Oryzias latipes: one gene and its partner. The protein of the gene in region 1 interacts with the protein of each later gene in a biochemical or structural test. Links are inferred from orthologs where the notes say so. Each region holds a gene or a part of one and is shown in the gene's direction. Other genes may lie near its edges.

Region 1 (3,650 bases):
ACCTCAAATATAGTGTTGCTCTCTGCTCATCTTACAGCTCCTTTTATTTCTGTCAGTGGACGGGTATTTCTTTACTTTTCTAAAGCTGGGTCAGCTTTCTTATGCTCTCATATGAAGTGCAGGTTTTAGGCTGTGCAGCTATTTTGCTGTCAGGCTCTTGTGTTGAAAGCAACGTCTAAGTGTGCCAAAGTTCAATTTTATTTCTTGTTTATTTCTTGTTTTCTCATTGGAAAATGGGAGCAGCTCTGCCCTGGCAACAAAAGTAGGCTATTTGCATACTGCGTTGTGATTGGTCTGTGCGTTGATGGGCTTGCCAAATCACGCTGTATCTCTGTGGTGATAGGCTATGCTAATTAGGTGCTGTTGCTGGGATTCTGAATAGTGGTTACTGTGTAGCACTGGTGAATTGTGTTGTCTGGTGAGAGATGCTGATAGCTGAACATGCTATTTAATAATTTTTTGATTCCTTCTGGCTTAAAATGAAGGATGATTCACCGTACAGTGTGGAGATGCTGTATTCTCACCCCTTTTCACTGTTAAACTGGCTGTTTTTTCCCCTTTTCCTCACAAAGGTTGACATATTTCTGCTGTGTTTTGATTTTTTTGGGGTTGTCCTTTGATTGCATTGTTTAACGTGTACATGTTTAACATAGCACTGTGTATAAACCTGACATTTAATTCTTTAATTTACTAGATTTTGCTGTTTTTGTTGGTGTTTATCATCATTTGAGATTGATTATTAACACAAATGTAAATAATGCTGTTAATTTGCATTTATAAATTCCTATAGATAATTTCTTTTCATCTTAAACTAAGCTGAAGTTTTTTTTGTAAATCTAAACAACAAATAATGTTTCTTTATTATATTGTTTTACCTGTAAATAACATAATACATCTTGCTGGCTTTCTTTGTAGCGTTAAATCTCTGATGACCTCTTTTATTTTCCTTTTTCACTTTTGTATGTTTCTCTGTTCAATGACTTTAAAGGGAACTTTAATTTCCTTTTTAGGAGGAGAGACTTCAGCATGCAAACCTTCGTCCGTCCGGCTTGCGCCCTCTTTTTCTTTACACACTGCTGGTCTTCAGATGGCTGCTCCAATGCCCCATACGCACCAGCAGTACAGTGACCGCCACCAGCCAACCACTGACCAATCTGTTACGGTTTTACCGTACAGCGACCAGACACCACAGCTCACTGCCAATCAGGTACAATCACCCTTCCCACTGCCCTTTTAGGATTTACAGGAATAGCTAAACTTAATTGCACACAAAAGTTTGCTCCCTTTTTTTAAACAAGTATCACTAGGCAGAGTAGCTGCATGTCAAATGTCTTTCTGTGTAATTGTGTCACATTGTGTTAACAGCTTTGAAGTTTAAACACAAACCCTGTAAGAGGAACTTTTTACTTCTAAAGTTGTGTTTCTTTTGTTTGTTTGTAAAATGTTGTTGTACTTTTATTTCAGAGGCACATGCCCCAGTGCTTTCGTGACCCAACTTCAGCTCCCCTGAGGAAGCTCTCCATCGACCTTATCAAAACATACAAACACATCAATGAGGTGAGGCTTTGCTTTAGTAAAAGTTCAAATCATTCTTTGACATTTGTTTTCCCCTTGTTTTAAGATGTTTGCTATTTCAACATTCTTTTTTTTTAAATTGGTAGTCTTTATTATTTTATGAATTTGTTGTTCATAAAGATAGATATTTTTAATTTATAAGAAAAAAACATTATTATTCATTTAAAAAAACAGGAATTTTATACATGAAAAACCTAATTTGTTGGAGCAAAATCCAAAGGAACATTTAACATTTCCTGAAGAAATCTCTGCATGTGCTTTTCTGAAATGCATTCAATTTTCTTTTTTTCTTTTTCAGGTTTATTATGCAAAAAAGAAGCGGCGGCACCAACAGGGTCAGGGTGAAGACTCCAGTCACAAAAAGGAGAGGAAGGTTTTCAATGATGGCTATGACGATGATAACTATGACTACATCGTCAAGAATGGGGAGAAGTGGATGGACCGCTATGAGATCGATTCCTTAATAGGAAAAGGATCATTCGGACAGGTGAGGAATTAAAACTGACAGTCTGTTATTTGTCCACTTCTAAGGGGTTCCAGCTTTCTGACCTTCCTTTTTTTGGTTTTAAATCTTGATGTTTAGTGTAACAAATGTGCTTCAGATATAATACTTTTAACATATTTAATACTGGTTTTGTTCAATTCTCAGGTTGTGAAAGCTTATGACCGAGTAGAGCAAGAATGGGTTGCCATTAAGATCATTAAGAACAAGAAAGCTTTCCTTAATCAAGCCCAGATTGAAGTGCGCCTTCTGGAGCTTATGAACAAACATGATACGGAGATGAAATACTATATTGGTAATTTACTTTTGATGTCCCACATACAGAACAAATCCAACGGCTTGCAGTGTCAGCGACTAACGCGTCCAATTTTTGTTTCTTTGCAGTCCACCTGAAACGTCACTTCATGTTCCGTAACCATCTCTGCCTCGTGTTTGAAATGCTGTCATATAATTTATACGACCTGCTTCGAAATACCAACTTCCGCGGCGTCTCACTCAATCTCACCCGGAAGTTTGCCCAGCAGCTATGCACGGCACTACTCTTCCTGGCCACCCCCGAGCTCAGCATCATCCACTGTGACCTGAAGCCCGAGAACATCCTCCTTTGTAACCCCAAGAGGAGTGCCATCAAAATAGTGGACTTTGGCAGTTCATGCCAACTGGGACAAAGGGTATCTACCATCATATATTTCATCTGCTATACAGTCTATGTGTGTTTGTGAGAAATGGTTTGCAATTTTCAACAAAAGCAATGCGCTTTACAGTCACCCTCACTTCCCACGCTTTGTGTTTGTAGATATACCAGTATATCCAGAGTCGCTTCTACCGTTCTCCAGAAGTGTTGCTGGGAATGCCCTATGACCTGGCCATCGACATGTGGTCCTTGGGTTGCATCTTGGTAGAGATGCATACCGGAGAGCCTCTATTTAGTGGAGCCAATGAGGTATAAAACATGATAAAAATATCAAAGACATATGTGGAGCTTATTGATAACAGGAATATCGAAAAGTCACCTTGTTTGTAGTTCTTCAATAAAAAAGTACCCTTAAAACTGGATTTGTAAGCCGTGGTGTGTTCCTACAAGAGCTTAGAAGCATTTTGACATTTACCCTCATTTATAATGAGTGCAAATACTTATTAAAAGATGCATTTGGTTTCTTCAGGTGGACCAGATGAACAAAATAGTCGAGGTTCTTGGCATCCCACCCAATCACATAATGGACCTAGCCCCAAAAGCCAGGAAGTTCTTTGAGAAGCTTTCAGATGGTACATGGAGTGTTAAGAAGACCAAAGATGGCAAAAGGGTGAGTTGACAGCTTTAACGCCAACTGATGGGTGCTGATGACGGAACTGTCTTGTTTGATGTCTTGATATGCACATTAAAAAGCTTTACATGTCTTTGGTTTCTTTGTAGTATAAGCCTCCAGCTTCGCGGAAGCTCCACTCCATCTTAGGTGTGGAGACGGGCGGTCCTGGTGGCCGACGGGCAGGGGAGTCTGGCCACGCTGTTGCTGACTACTTGAAGTTCAAGGACCTGATCCTCCGGATGTTGGACTATGACCCCAAGAGCCGC
Region 2 (4,408 bases), on another chromosome or scaffold:
CGTTTGCTAACAAATACATTTAAAAAAAATTTTTTACCTTTACTTTGCTATCAATTAATAACATATCTAAGAATTAAGATTAATCCTAATAACTAAACCCATCCCCCAACTCTCACTCACTTTAATCTGTTAGCAAACGTAGCATTTGGCTAATGCTAGCTAAGGAAGCCTGACACACTGTCACGTTGAACTAAACCTGTGTTCTAGATCAATATAAAACTGCTATATATTTAGTGAGATTTGTAAACAGAGTGTAAACCAAAAATAATGAAGAAGCTGCCTACCTTGAGGATAAAGTATAGCAATGAACGCGAAGCTGGTTAGGAGAAAAGAACTTGAAACTGTCCTTGGAGTAAAGTTCCGTTTGAGACAGGAAACTGCCAGTGACATGACTTGCCTTTCAAAATAAAAGCAACGATGTAGAAAACTTTTTCCAGAAGTCTAGCATGTGTTCTCTTGCAGTGACAGATAACAAGACACACCAAGATTTCCTTTTTTTTTTTTTAAATCACCAACCAATAGAGTGTTTTTACTGCAAGATGAGTTGTCATTTGTATAAGAAAGTCTGGAGTGATAGAGAAGTATGTTTGAGTTGTTCAGGACATCCATTAGAGCTGGAAGACATAAGACGTGCTGTATGTGTGACAGAAGAGTTCAAGCTGGAGGTGAGACTGCACCATCAGCTTTGAGCTCCTTCTTGTTTGCTGTGATGATGGATGGACAAACTGGCAGATAAGGAACCTCTATAGATCGTGATGTTTGCAGTTGACATCACGATCTGAGCAGAGAGCAGGTGGAGGAACATCTAGGAGATTTGTTCTGGAATGCAGAGGAATGAAGATCAGCTGCAGCAAGACAAAGTTGCTGCATTTAAATGAGAGGAATTTAAGCGGAATGTTTCAGGGAGCAGAGGTGAAAAATTGAGGACTTTAATGGCCACTTGTTGTGGTAATTAAGCCATTCATTAACATACCATGGTTTATAAACTTTACATTAATTGAATTATAAATTGTCTAGGAATACTTTTGACAGCAACAAATACAAGTTCCTTTCAAAACCAGCTGACAGTGCCACACCGTCACAAGGAGGTTCGATATTTGGTGTGGTATACGATATTTTTTTGGACAGAAAAAGCAACTAAAAGGGCTCAATCAAATTGGAATAATCTTACTTCCGGTTCATGTGTCAAAATTAAACATAGAAACAAGACTGCACATTCGTTAGAAAGTAAACATTGACGCTGCATCGTATAATAAACATAAAATTCATTAGGATATGTAGACAAGATGTTACAAGAAAAACAATCTTGAAGCCTGTAAACTGTATTTACCCCCTTATGGTCACAACTGCAGACAGTAATCAAGATTGACGTAACTACATAATTTCGCTTCCGGTAGACACGTTAAAAATAAAACTATTTTGAAACACAGCCTGACAGTGAGAAATACATAGCAAAAAAATTACGTAAATTTTATTTTAATTATAATTAAATTCATAAAACACATGTTTAATTTAACAACATAAACTCAAACGTTCTCACTAAAAGTTTTAATGAGTGCTCTTTAAAAACTCTCTTTTATTTTGAAAGTGTAACCAGGAAGTTCTTCATACGTCGGTTAGATGGTTCGCCATCAAGATCGTAACAAGCAATGCTACTCTTTGTTAAGTGAAGTGCTGTAAAATCTTGTTTTAGAACAAGATTTACGTTTTTAACAGTCAACCGTGCTTCTTTTGATGCTTTTCTATTATAGGAAAACGAGCCGGTAAAAGTTCGTCGCGGCGTTTTCTTATTTGACAGTAAGCTAGGGCTAGCGTGTTAGCTGCTCAGACAACAGCTCGTGAGGATGTCGCTTCACGGCAAAAGAAAAGAAATCTACAAGTACGAGGCGCCATGGACGGTGTACGCAATGAACTGGAGCGTTCGTCCGGATAAACGCTTTCGGCTGGCCCTCGGGAGCTTTGTGGAAGAGTATAACAACAAGGTGCGTAGCTTGTTTTATGTTTTGTTTTTTGAGTCAGCTAACCCTTCACGAACAAACGCGCTTGAATCAGTGCTATGCTAGCTCTGTACATGTTTAGAGTGGTATTGCAAAATGTTATTGCGTTTATTATCTTCGTAATAACGTCTCCATCGATGCTTAATGGTACCCCTTTTTTAATTTAATTTAATTAATTAATTAATTTATTTTTTATTAGAACGAATCGCTTTTATTTTTTTCTTGTCATCATATCTCTACTCAGGTTCAGTTGGTGGGTCTGGAAGAGGAGAGCTCCGAGTTTGTCTGCAGGAACACGTTTGATCACCCTTACCCCACCACCAAGATCATGTGGATCCCGGACACCAAAGGGGTCTACCCAGACCTGCTGGCCACCAGTGGAGACTATTTGCGCATTTGGAGGGTAGGATGTCAAACCCCGGTCACCTGCTGCGTCTGTCATGTTTTTGTTTGGGTCATCTCTTTGTAACTCGAGTACTTTTCACTTTGGGATTTTTTTTTACATCGGTGTGTTTGAAGGAACTTATACTTGTCATGCTTTACATTGCCGCATCGCTGCTTTATGTGTTAAAACTCTTTTATATTAAAGGGGATTTTCAGACCTGTAAGCATAATGTTACAATTATCAAATGAAACTTTATTTATAGGGCATTTTTCATACAACAGTGAGTGCTTTATAGACTTGAAACAATCAAAAAAATAAATAAATTATAAAATAGATTATAGAACACATTTAAACATAAAATTACATAAATACAATTCAAAATAGAGACAAAAGTGAAAGAAGTGAGGAAATTTTATTTTGAAATGAGATAGAACTGTAAGTAAGTAAAAGTAAACTAAATGTCTGGAGCATTTTTTTTTAAATAAAAAGGTGTATGTTACCTCTTTATTTTCTTTTAAAAAGCACAGCATTTGTATATATTTTTTTTAAATTTCCCTGAACTATAGCTATAATGCTGAACCACTATGACAAAGGCTCCATGTATGTAATGAAACCTGTCGTTATACTTTTTTTCCTCCCATTTCTAACTTTTGTGATGCCTCACAGTTTCTTTTAAAAGTATCATTTGGCAGGTTACATATATGCCTGTTAATTGGCTTCTAACATCAGTTTAAGTATTTTTTAAAAACACACGCAATGCTGTTTATTAGGCCTGGGCGAAAAATCGATTGAATGAATTAATTCGAATTTTTTGTTACGGGCGATTTCAAAAATAACTGAATCGAGTTTTTGTGTAATGGCGCATTTTTGGCTCCCCGGAGCTTCCGTAGCGTTAGTTTCACACGGCAATGTGGCAAGCGACAAACAACAACATCATAGCACACACGAAACAGCAAGCGACAACATGGCTTACTGCCACCGACGTGGAGGAAGAGCCCCCCCCCCCACGCTGCAACATTTGCCTAAAGCCCATCGCAGTCAAAGGCAACAGCACCACAAACCTATTCCAACACCTGGGGGAAACCTTTTATTACAGTTCTCCTTCAATCCGTAACTCCAAACATGAACGCCCCCCCCCCCAGCACGCTGTCACTCACTCTCGCGCGGCACGCGCTCATTCCTCTTACACACGCACGCAGTGCGCTGACACGCACACTCATTCTCCAACACCTATATGGTTAGTTCATTAGTTACTTCGTAGTTAGTTTTTACTGTTATTTGTTAATAAAGAATACTGCGTTGCAATTATGAATTACATTTATTTGTGTATTCATTTGCGATGCCGGATGTTGTGTTAGGCGGGGGGGTTGACCGCGACTCCTGCTGCTTCGTCAGCGCGGTGATCAAAAATCCCACACCGTGACAGCTCTAGTTTATATCTTGTGGGACACAGAAAAAATGCGACTTTTCCAGTACGGATAGCAGAACCGTTGAGGTCAGATCTTGAAGAATGTTGCTCTGGGGCTCGTTCAATACGGGGGCTCAGTACCCATCCCTAGGGGCACGGTGGAGAACAATCACTGAAGCGGTCGCTTTGCATACAGCCAAAGACATGGTACCCATATATACTGTGGAGAAAACGGGCTTTATTAATTCAATTAAAACCTTAGACCCCAGATATGAGCTGTATTGTTAATCCTTTAGAAATGGTGCTACTCTCAAGGTGTAAGTCTGACTTAAAACACAGCTGGGACTTTGATTCCCGGAGTGTGTTCATTTATTTATTATTCATCCCAGAAATGGGGGTTACATTTGTCTTGCGTTTGATTAAATAAATCAAAATTTGCTTTAAGTTTTCTGCCGTTTGTACTTATTGCTTTCCTTAGGTAGGGGGGAAAATCGGAAAAAATCAGAAATCAATTAAAAACATTTTTTTAGACCATATCGCCCAGCCCCAGTGTTTATACATGCTTATACCATGGTCTGAAAGAATACTTAATTCTGATTGGCTGCTGGGTGTGGATAT

What was found.
Region 2: the proteins of dyrk1a (region 1) and dcaf7 form a complex in vitro, tested with the Homo sapiens proteins (2 studies listed by BioGRID). The link is inferred for Oryzias latipes from reciprocal best matches to the Homo sapiens genes DYRK1A and DCAF7.

What each region holds. Positions count from the first base shown.
Region 1 is NC_019871.2:12,328,087-12,331,736, forward strand, and holds part of dyrk1a (dual specificity tyrosine-phosphorylation-regulated kinase 1A), read left to right. Parts: intron 1-1,010; coding exon 1,011-1,207; intron 1,208-1,464; coding exon 1,465-1,557; intron 1,558-1,873; coding exon 1,874-2,062; intron 2,063-2,224; coding exon 2,225-2,372; intron 2,373-2,461; coding exon 2,462-2,748; intron 2,749-2,873; coding exon 2,874-3,020; intron 3,021-3,240; coding exon 3,241-3,381; intron 3,382-3,491; coding exon 3,492-3,650. UniProt on the Homo sapiens protein: Dual-specificity kinase which possesses both serine/threonine and tyrosine kinase activities. Exhibits a substrate preference for proline at position P+1 and arginine at position P-3.
Region 2 is NC_019866.2:4,064,885-4,069,292, forward strand, and holds the start of dcaf7 (DDB1- and CUL4-associated factor 7), read left to right. Parts: upstream 1-1,596; 5' UTR 1,597-1,844; coding exon 1,845-1,982; intron 1,983-2,241; coding exon 2,242-2,400; intron 2,401-4,408. UniProt on the Homo sapiens protein: Involved in craniofacial development. Acts upstream of the EDN1 pathway and is required for formation of the upper jaw equivalent, the palatoquadrate. The activity required for EDN1 pathway function differs between the first and second arches.